2 linked regions of the Cricetulus griseus genome follow. The protein of the gene in region 1 interacts with the protein of each later gene in a pairwise test. Links are inferred from orthologs where the notes say so. Each region holds a gene or a part of one and is shown on either strand. Other genes may lie near its edges.

Evidence for each region.
Region 2: the proteins of Vps52 (region 1) and Tead4 interact in binary tests that used the Homo sapiens proteins (3 or more experiments, as listed by UniProt). The two-hybrid records come from large-scale screens. The link is inferred for Cricetulus griseus from reciprocal best matches to the Homo sapiens genes VPS52 and TEAD4.

The regions. Positions count from the first base shown.
Region 1 is NW_023276806.1:232,049,667-232,054,990, forward strand, and holds part of Vps52 (vacuolar protein sorting-associated protein 52 homolog), read right to left. Parts: intron 5,244-5,324; coding exon 5,111-5,243; intron 4,991-5,110; coding exon 4,933-4,990; intron 3,638-4,932; coding exon 3,504-3,637; intron 3,194-3,503; coding exon 3,038-3,193; intron 2,625-3,037; coding exon 2,506-2,624; intron 2,192-2,505; coding exon 2,068-2,191; intron 1,913-2,067; coding exon 1,817-1,912; intron 1,728-1,816; coding exon 1,620-1,727; intron 1,462-1,619; coding exon 1,396-1,461; intron 918-1,395; coding exon 806-917; intron 586-805; coding exon 467-585; intron 321-466; coding exon 174-320; 3' UTR 1-173. UniProt on the Homo sapiens protein: Acts as a component of the GARP complex that is involved in retrograde transport from early and late endosomes to the trans-Golgi network (TGN).
Region 2 is NC_048601.1:18,161,498-18,166,821, reverse strand, and holds part of Tead4 (transcriptional enhancer factor TEF-3), read right to left. Parts: intron 3,917-5,324; coding exon 3,873-3,916; intron 3,396-3,872; coding exon 3,340-3,395; intron 486-3,339; coding exon 346-485; intron 1-345. UniProt on the Homo sapiens protein: Transcription factor which plays a key role in the Hippo signaling pathway, a pathway involved in organ size control and tumor suppression by restricting proliferation and promoting apoptosis.

The DNA.
Region 1 (5,324 bases):
TGAGGCTGAGTCCTGCAATGGAGGCCGGAGGAGGACTGTGGAAGCCTCAGAGACAACAAGAAGGGAAGGGGACCCGGGTGACAGTGTGTGACATGCAGAGCCCGTGGAAGCCGGCAGGTCCCAGTGTTGGGTGACTGCAGAGTCCTCGGGAGCTGTCAGCCCTGGAGACAGAGTCAGAAGTTGGGCTTGTGCTTCTTGAGCTCCACCATGAGGTGATGAATGTTGATGAGCTCGGCCCTGGCTGGCAGTGCCCGCAGCTGCGGCTGTGCCAGCACTCGGTGGAAGCGATGGTAGAGCTGGATCAGCTGGGTCAGCGCCCCCTGCACAGAGAGGAAAGTCGGGGTCAGACTGACGGTGACAGGAGGTCAGAGCTTCACCGGGATCTCAGACACAGCTGTCATTGACTTCCCAGAGGAAAGAGCAAGCAATCAAGCGTGGGACTTGGCAAAGGCTGGAGTGGCGGCACCTGGATGATGCTGGTTCCGTTTCGAAAGTTGGTGAAACTCCGCATTACATCCTGACTCAGAGACTCCACCGACGCCTTCCAGGAACCACCAAAGCCACGGATCAGCTGAGTGACTCTGGCTGCCCACGGGAGGGAAGGGAGTGTCAGAGAGCAACCAGGCCTGGGGACCATCCACCCCGGCGAGGCCTGCCTGGGGCACAGCCATGCTCACCCTCAATCCCGGCTCCCTGGTGCTCCTCCATTCAAGTCCTCCCCTCTGTGCCACCGCCCCTGAGACCTGCACACTCTCACTGTCCTTTTAACTCAGCTCCCCACAGTCCCGCGACAACAGTCTCATACCTTCTTCCCCTCGAAGTCGCTCAGCCTGTCCACGCTCAATCAAAGCCTCAGCCTCCTTCACAAACGCCACCAGACCCCCGAAGGGGGGAGACAGCAACTCTTCAATGAATTCCTAGAGAGAAGTGCAAGCTGGAACTGAGTCAGGGGTCCTGGGAACAAAGGACCCCAACATGGACTGGGAGGACTAGGAGGGGACACTCCACAGAGCAGCCGGCCTTGGGGAGGAGGGGAGAAGTGCTTGGTCCCCAGAACACAAAGTGGAAGAAGCAAGAAAGGAACCCAGTCCTGACATTGTCCTATGACCTCCATGTGTTTCACAACATGTGCCTGGGAGTGCGCTCACATATACGTACACACACACACACACACACACACACACACACACACACACACACACAAATAATGCCCTGCAAAGCAGGTGTAAACACACACATACATACATACTTATATACACACATACATACACCGTTATAGTTTTTTGCTTTTAAGTTATTAATTTATTGATAAATTAAATGAGACAGACTAGCAGCAGGCAGTGAGTTGTCACCATGACTGCACACTGAGGTCTCCCTGCCAAGCCCAGGCCCTACCTGTGTCCGCGCATTGAGCAGCTGCTGGAAACTCTCCACCTCTTTGCTGTCGTCAGCAGCCCGCTCCTAAGGAAGACAAAGAGTGAGGAACTTGGGAACAGCCTTCAGCCCAGCACCTCCTGTAATCGCACACCACACCGCAGACACTGCCAGAATCCAGGGCTAAAGCCCCCTTGGTGAGGCTGACGAGCATGGGCACGCCCCGTGGGGGAGGGCAGCATTACCATCAGCACACCCAGCATCATGTCGTAGTTGTTGATCAGAAACACGAGCTGCTCCTTCCTGGAGGAGAACTCCGCAGCCACTCGGAGGACAAAGTTCTCCACCTCCACCTGCAAAAGCCAAACAGAGAGCAAGTCAGAGACACAGGTCCCAGGGCCCCTCCCCATGCTGGGAAGCCTGCCCGCCCCGCCCGGCCCACCTGGAGCTGCCCCAGCAGCTGCAGGGTGCGCTCATTGGGGATGGTCTGGTTGATGCTGACAAGGGCAGACGAGAACTCGGCATAGCGGCGCGTGATCTAGGACCAAGGAGGGGAGACGCCCATCAGCCTGCCAGGCCGACATAACCTCCCAGCAGCCTCTGCAGCTCCTGTCCCCAGTCCCTCCTCCTGCAGTGGCCAGCCCACCGCTGCGTGTGACCCCGAGACCCCTTGTTATCCTCCCCCGCCCTCACATAGTGGGGCCGCGTGTCCAGTCCTCCGAGGCGCTGGGGGTCGGTGGTGCGGACACTCTGGACGTTCATCTCCAGGATCAGCTCAAACCGAGGCCACAGCAAGGCCAACACCTGCTCCCAGTACCTGCAGGGTCAGTCAGAACCAAAGGTCAGCAGGCTACGGGTGCTGGCAGGCCATGGGGGCACAGCACCCTTCAGGGGAATGTGAGCGGGTGTGTGTGTGCCTGTGTGTCCGTGTCTGTATGCACGGATGTGTGTGTGTGTGTGTGTGTGTGTGTGTGTGTGTGTGTGTGTGTGTGTGACAGGGATGCTGCCTTGGGGACACACACAGGATAAGGGTGAAGGACATCGGGTGAGGAGGAGCCAGGGGCAGGGTGGAGTTGTCGGTGTGAGATAAAAAGCTGGACCCAGCAGGCACCAGGACCAGAGCTCAGTGACCTGTCCAGAGCAGGGACATCCCTCTTCGATGCAATGCTGCGGAATCGGAGGACAATGTGGATACAGAGAAAAACAGCAATGGCGTCATAGCAGTCGGCCAGGTAGGACTCCAGGTGTTTCTGCGGCACAGCAGGCAGACAACTGAATGCTAGTTTGAAGTTCCAGTGGCTATGAGCAAATGGATGTGCACTTCTGGGGACAAGGCGCTGGCTAGGGAGACACCTCCTTCCTTGTCCAGGGGCCCTGACTTACTCACTGGCCTCAACTCTGTAAGCTCCTCACAGTTGAAGCCAGGGCTGAGCCTGGGATGGAGGTAAAGGATCGCGATTTAGAGGTCTTGCTCTCTGCTTGTGGAAACAGAGGAAGCAGCAGGTCCCCCGAGTTCTGAGGGTTTCCTAGGGGGCCATGTTGTGAGATAAAGGCTTGGACAACGTAGAACGGGACATCCTGCATTCAATACTGCCACTGTGACCCCACTGGACGTGGAGGAGCCCTGGGAAGGGAGAGTAAAAGCACAGAATCGGGGACTTACCAGAGTCATGGCGAGCGTGCGGCCCATGACAGCATGGAACAGGTCATGTGCAGCTGGGCCAGACACAACAAAAAATTCACAGATGAAAAGATACTCCCGGCAGGAATTGTCAAGGAGCGCGTAGTGCTGGCTGCGGAAGAGAGCTTCAAACGGATACTACGGGACAGAGAGAGGGGTGGATCCAACACTGACCCCGCAGATACGGGGGCTCAGTGTATCCCAGGAACCAGAGCTCGGAAGACCCCACACATACCTCACCTCCAGGAAGGGAGGGGCACCCTGGGGGCGCACAGGACACAAGGAAAGCCCACCCCACTGGCTGCGGCCATCCCCACATCCACTCCAGCTGCTGCCTCATGACAGCCACCCCACGACCAGTCTCCCTCTGCACCCTAAGCCCATGGCTCCTGTCCCCACAGCGCAGCAGGCGAATTGATCCCCAGCCACGGAGGGGGCCTCCTCATACCCTCTGCTCCCCACGCTGGGCAGTATGGGGCACCAGGATGGGGGCCTCCAGTTCGGTGGGGGAGATGACCGCACCACGGGTGCCCAGGGTGAAGATGGTGTTCCTGCTTCGGAGGGACGGCTTCGAGAAGAATCGTGAACAGCATCAGAGTCAGGGAAAACACTGAGAATGACCAAGCAGGCCATGAAGCCAAGACCTGAGCACTCTGGGAAGCTAAATATGAGCTGGACATCCCTTCCAGAACCAGGGCCTCGCTTCACCTGATACCTGTAATGGGCGTCAGGGATTCTACAAGCCCTCCGAAATCCACGTGAAAAACTGTCAGAATGATGTGAGCCTCTGGGAGGGGAGCTCTCGCTCTCTCTCACATCCTCAAAGGTTACATCCCAGACACAGGGTAAGCAGAGGCCTGTGGGCTGGAGCCAGGCATCCCCACTGTGAGCCTGACAGGAGGTGAGCCTGACTTGAGGGAGGTGAGCCTGACTTGAGGGAGGTGGAGCCTGACTTGAGGGAGGTGGAGCCTGACTTGAGGGAGGTGGAGCCTGACTTGAGGGAGGTGGAGCCTGACTTGAGGGAGGTGGAGCCTGACTTGAGGGAGGTGGAGTCTGACTTGAGGGAGGTGGAGTCTGACTTGAGGGAGGTGGAGCCTGACTTGAGGGAGGTGGAGCCTGACTTGAGGGAGGTGGAGCCTGACTTGAGGGAGGTGGAGCCTGACTTGAGGGAGGTGGAGCCTGACTTGAGGGAGGTGGAGCCTGACTTGAGGGAGGTGGAGCCTGACTTGAGGGAGGTGGAGCCTGATTTGAGGGAGGTGGAGCCTGACTTGAGGGAGGTGGAGCTTGACTTGAGAGGGGTGGAGCCTGACTTGAGGGAGGTGGAGCCTGACTTGAGGGAGGTGGAGCCTGACTTGAGGGAGGTGAACCTGACTTGAGGGAGGTGGAGCCTGACTTGAGGGAGGTGGAGCCTGAATTAGGGAGGTGGAGCCTGACTTGAGGGAGGTGGAGCCTGACTTGAGGGAGGTGGAGCCTGACATGAGGGAGGTGGAGCCTGACTTGAGGGAGGTGGAGCCTGACTTGAGGGAGGTGGAGCCTGACTTGAGGGAGGTGGAGCCTGACTTGAGGGAGGTGGAGCCTGACTTGAGGGAGGTGGAGCCTGACTTGAGGGAGGTGGAGTCTGACTTGAGGGAGGTGGAGTCTGACTTGAGGGAGGTGGAGCCTGACTTGAGGGAGGTGGAGCCTGACTTGAGGGAGGTGGAGCCTGACTTGAGGGAGGTGGAGCCTGACTTGAGGGAGGTGGAGCCTGACTTGAGGGAGGTGGAGCCTGACTTGAGGGAGGTGGAGCCTGACTTGAGGGAGGTGGAGCCTGACTTGAGGGAGGTGGAGCCTGACTTGAGGGAGGTGAGCCTGACGCGAGGCTCCCTGGTCCAGGATATCTTTCTTTGCTGTGTCTTCCACACCCATCAGATCGTCCTTCTCAGCAACTTCCTCGTACTAGAGAAAACAACAGAGAGCTCAACCATGGCTGCCCACCACCAGCAGGTGAGGAACTCAGTCCCTCCTCCAAGCCCCTGCCTACAGACACCTGTCCCCGCCTGTCCCTGCCTGGCTCACCTGCACTTTCATGAGCCGCCCCAGATAGGAGCGGAAGTAAGACAGGTAGATCTTGCTCAGCGTCTCCACGTACTCATCCCTGATCTCCTTGGCTGTTGCTCGCTCGTTGCCCAACAGGAACTGATAGAAGAACCTGGAAGGGCCAGGGCGAGTCAGACCCTGGACATCCATGCTGGGCCGTTAAGAAGCTCACAGGCCGTCCCGGGGTGGCGAC
Region 2 (5,324 bases), on another chromosome or scaffold:
AGCCCTGAAGGGAGAGGGGGAGAAAGGTAAGAAAGCCAGAGGGGGGTGGGGAGGAGTGAGACCTCTGGGCCTGCGGGGTCTACTCTGGAGGCAGGACTTCCGGGGTGGGACCCACTTATTAGGGTGGGCACTAGGGAACCTACTATGGGGATAGGGCCTCCAGTGACAGGGGCATGTAGCACGGGGACAGAAGCTTCAGGACTTGAGGCTTACTTTGAGGACAGGGGCTTGTGGGATTGGGAACCTACTCTGGGCCTGCAAGACTGAGGCCCTACAGCAATGGCAGAGCCTCTGAGATTAAGATGGCCTCTCTTGGGGTAAGACAGTCAGACATGGAAGACCTACTGTGTCAGGATCTTGCTGGCGCTCCAGGAAAGCAGAGAACTCCAACATCCAGAGCTTGGAGCTGGCCACACTGCGGCCTTGCCATGGGGAAGCTGGCGGAGCAGAGGGTGATGGGGTGGGTCCTGCAGGAGATTCAAAGCCTATAAGAAGGGAGAGAGACACATTGTCCTCCCTGCTGCTATCCTCAGTGAGGACTGAACAAAACCAGTGAAAAGCTTGCCCAGTGGTGGGACAGAGCCTATGAAAGATCCAGCCAGTGGTCCCAGGCTTCTGCACAGGCTCTTGCACCAGGCAGATGGATCTGAACAGCACAGGCTGCCTGGAAAACTGCCAGGGCAGGCACAGCAGGACTCTTGCCCTAGGGCCATTTCTAGTCCAGGCAGTTAGATAGCCAGTTGAAACAACTAGCACAATAGATTCCAAGGCCCTGGGAGCAGGAAGTTTCCTGGAGGACTCACAGTTGCCGAAAACCCATAGAACACCACCTACAACAGAGGGTTCTAATGAAGGCAGGCCTGGGCCAGCCTGATAGAGGTGTGCCCTGGGCACCACAGAAGACTTCTTGGTGCTCCTGAGGCTGAGCAAGATAAGGAAGTCATTAGTTCAAATGACAAGTGCTGAGTGAAGATAGGGAAAGGGAACCCAAGCTGGGAAGAGTCAAAGGTGAATGTGGGGGTGGGGGTGGGGGTGGGGGACGGGGACGGGAACCAACTGAGAGAATCTGTAAGGCCACATCTTCATGTCTGAAGAGCATGTCTGAACTGGTAGTGGCTGGAAACAGGCTCTGTAGTCAGCCCGAGATGCTGCAAACAGGATGGATTGATTCTATTCCTAAATCAAGGAAAGCCTATGGTCGAATCAAGTGGGGCTGGGAAGTTGTCAGTTCTGCAATTTTTTTTTTTTTTTCCTGGTAATACTGGGGATGGAATCCTGCCTAGAGCAGGGAATGTGAACTAAAATTCCTGAAAAGAAGCTGTGCCTGGCTGTGAACAAAAACTCCTGGAAGGAGTTTCTGTGTCCGCCGAGACTGATGGACCGATTGGAATTTCAGGGCTCTGGAGAGACCGGAAATATATAGGGTCAGAGGCTGATTACTTTATCTTGGGCTAGTGTTAGCCTTCTGGGACAGCCATGCCTTGACTCACTCTGTATCTGAACTAACACCTCGTGATAATAAATAGAAAGCTCTTAGAAGCCATTAACTCAGCAGAACACCAGGAGCTAAGAGTGACATCACATAGCATCTTATACCTATAGAATAGGTCCCCCATCTCCTTGTACCCACCTCTCTGCTGTATCCAGTGTATTTTAAAGTTGCCTTGATTTTATGACTTTCTTTGTTCAGTAAAACTATGAAAATCCTGTGAAATCATTTCCAGGGTGGAATATGAAACTTGGGGTAACCTAAATCTGTGTTCCCAGGCCATGGTCACTCACAATGGCTCCAGAATAAAATATCTCTTATTCCTTTTAAGATGAGAGCTGTGACCGGGCGGTGGTAGTGCATACCTTTAATCCCAGCACTTGGGAAGCAGAGGCAGGCGGATCTCAGTGAGTTCGAGACAGCCTGGTCTGCAAGAGCTAGTTCCAGGACAGCCTCCAAAGCCACTCAAACCAAAAACAAAAAGATGAGAGCTTTGGTTTTTATGCTGAGAGTACTCTAGACAAGCTCTCGGTCACTCAGCTTAGCAGTTTTTCATTCCTTCTTCATTGTGGAAGAAAGGTAGGATTGGGGGGGGGCACATTAAGGGCAAGGCCTTTATGAATCAGGTTTTCCTTCTGGTGGCCACTGGTACCCTGGGCAGAAGCAATGAACTCAGGCACAGGGGGAAAAAAAACAAAAAACAAAAAACAAAGAAGAGACCAAGAACAGTCCAGGAGAGCGGCCAACCATGCTGACCACACCAGCCCATGCTTAGTGCAGCCACCAAATCTTTCTTCCCTTCCATCCTGCAGCCCCAGTGCACCCAGGAACTGCTGTGAACACAGCACAGGATACCCACAAGGATCTGCAGATACCAGCTTCGGAGGCACAGTCAGACACGAACAGGAAGAACACCCCTGATAGACAAAGGTCTGCAGAGCCCTGGATGGGCAAACAGAGGCCATCTAACCTGGGTGGGGCCGGTAGGAGGAACCGTGGCCCAGGAGGAGCAGTCTAGCACAGCACCACGGGGCCAGGAAGCATTTAAGCCTGGAAATCCCATGATGAGAGGGATGCTTTGAGAATCTTGGGCAGCCAGTTAAGAAGCCACCGCAGGAATCCAGGCAAGAACTAGGAGGATCTGAGTACAGACCGCATCAGCATGGACAGAGGGAAGAGAACAGAAAAGAGGACAGGACATGAGGACTGGGCCCGACTCAGTGATGCTCCCTCTGTGGGTGAAAGAAGCGGTGATCAGACATCAGGTGTGGCAGGAAAGCCTGAGAGGCTGCAACTGCAATATCTCAGCTGGTCACTCTCCAAGGAAGGTTGAAAGCCTAGCCTGGACTGCAGCGTGGAAGGGGCTGAGGGAGCCTCTTGGGAAAAGGTCAGAGCTGGCCCACTGAGGCCTGAGGAAGGGCCCAAACCAGTAAGTCACTGCTGTCACATTGCCCAACAGCACTTTCCAGCCATCAGGAAGGGTGCTAGGGAGGGGCTTGCAAGCCAGTTCCCTTCAGCTCCCAATTGAGAGACAATAGGCAGCACTCTAAGGATGAAGCCTGAAGAACCAGCACATATACCCTACAACAGCGGCCTGGGGACACAGGCACTTCCTCCCAATTCTGTGTCCCAGCCAGGCCTGAGCACAACTGGCAAGAAGTACAGCATTTGGTGTCACCCCAGGATGCCATGTTACCTATGAGGAAGTGTGGTATAGAGAGAAAATTGGGGTGTACGGTCTTGACACATGATGTCATGACATCTAACAGGACCCCAGGTGCTGGGAGCCTGGGACCAAAGGCAGGAGCCATAGGGTTTGACACACAAGGGGATCATGCATCATTACTTACCTGGCAGAGGCAGCGGAGGCTGGACAGTATAGGTGTTCTGAGAGAAAGGTTTCACACTGTGGGAAAAAGGAGAGAGGAGGCATCAGCCATTGGGAAGGGCTGCAGGGTAGCTCTGGTGGCTTGGCCACTGGTGGCCTTAGCAGGCATTGGTTTCCAGCACCGTCCCCTGCCAATTCCCTCAGGTTTTATGTTTGAGTCATAGAAGCAATATGTCTGTTGGTGCACTCCACCTCCCATCAAGCAGAGGCCAAGCAGATGTCTCGCTGGGTACCAAGCTTTAGAGCCCCTCCTATACCCTGTCCTGATGAGCACTTCAGTAAATGGCACTCCAAGTGTGGACAATGCAGACTAAGCAAGTGACGTCTGAGAGCAAAGCCTCATCCCTAAGGTCAAGGCCATCCTGGAAAGGCCGATCTCACACTGCAGCCCATCTCCCCCTGCTTCCACCTCCCCAAGCTAGGCTCCATTTCCTAAAGTGCTGGGTTCGAATTCAGCTCGGGGAGCTTGGGATAGAAAAATCAAACCGTACTCACTCATGGGATGTTCCGGGTTGGCCTGGCAAAGCTCCTTGCCAAAACTGTGGAGGTAAAAGGTACAGACTCAGCTTGGCTGTGTTGTGCACAGGGCCAGAGCCCAGGAGGATTGAGGGAGAGACCATGCAGGCCTCTGGGTGTGAAAGGAGGAAGAAAGGCAGCTCCAGCAGTGGGAGGAAGGAAAGCCAATGCCTCTGTTTAACTGGCTGACGCTAACAGGCGCAGCAACACCAAGGTGTCCTTCCCTGAGCCCCACCGGGAAAGCCAGGCTTGCTGACCCCGCACTTTCTCCCTCCCATCGAGACTCGCAGTGTTCTTCAGCATGTAAAGGTTCCCAGGTCCTAAAGTCAAGAAATCTACGCAGGGGCTCAGTGGTAGAGCATGTGCTTAGCTTGCATAAGGTGCATGGTTCCCACATCGAATACAAAAAATTATACAATCCAAGCGTCTACACAATCATGTTCTGTCCTGTCTACTTAACATCCCACCTAGCAGTCTTTAGGACTCCCTGTGAAATACGACGGCAGAGAGGCCTGTGGAATTTAACACATGTCCCTCCCCGCATGTGAGGGCAGTGTAAGTGAGGCCTCTTACGGAGGCTATATGACAAGCTTGGGAAGGGGGACCATTCCTGGAACATTCTAAAAGTGTGGCAATGTGGACATGGCTAAGAGACTGGTCATTAGGCGGACAAAAATCAAAATCTGAGCACAGGTTTGTCATTAGGTATCAGCTGTCCACACAGGAGGTGGGCTTTGCCTCGATACTGAGCAGGAGGAGTTGGGTCACGGGTGAATAAATGGTGGCTATTTGAGGACCGGGTAGTGCTGGTCAAAGCTCAGGATTTTCAGCTCCAGTCCGTGGTGTTATTATTTTGTTTAAAAAGAAGAAAAGAGAAATGCTGAGACATGAGACATAAGACTATAAGTTTATTATAAGGCCCGGCAGAATGGGGAGACTAAGAAGAGGAACAGGGGTAAATGGCTGACCGCCATGGCCGGTCGCCATAGAGAGAGCACATAGGTGAGAGAGAGAGTAGAAAGGAAGCTGAGAGGAAACAGAGCGGGGAAACAGAGAGAGGGAACAGAGAGCGTAAATGGGCAGGGGCCTATCTTTTAAAGGGGTCCTCTGCACCTGGGTGCAGACTTAGTTCCCATGGAACCTTGGGCTGACCAGGGTACTGCCTGTTCCACCAGTTAACAGGGGCAGGCCAGCATAATGCCTGAACCTTTCACGTGGACTTCTGCTTCCTTGTCTATAAATTAAGCCAATTTTCATCTGGCCAGCCCTCCTGCATCTCTTTTTAAAGGCCTGCTGTGTTATTAAGGACCTCAAACAAGCAGTGGTTTAGAATGGGCTCTGGGAGGACTCAGAAGAGAGGGATCGAGACTGGCCACTGTGCCCAGCTCTGCAGAAGAGACAGTATAAGGAAGCTGTGTTGGCCTCTTGCTC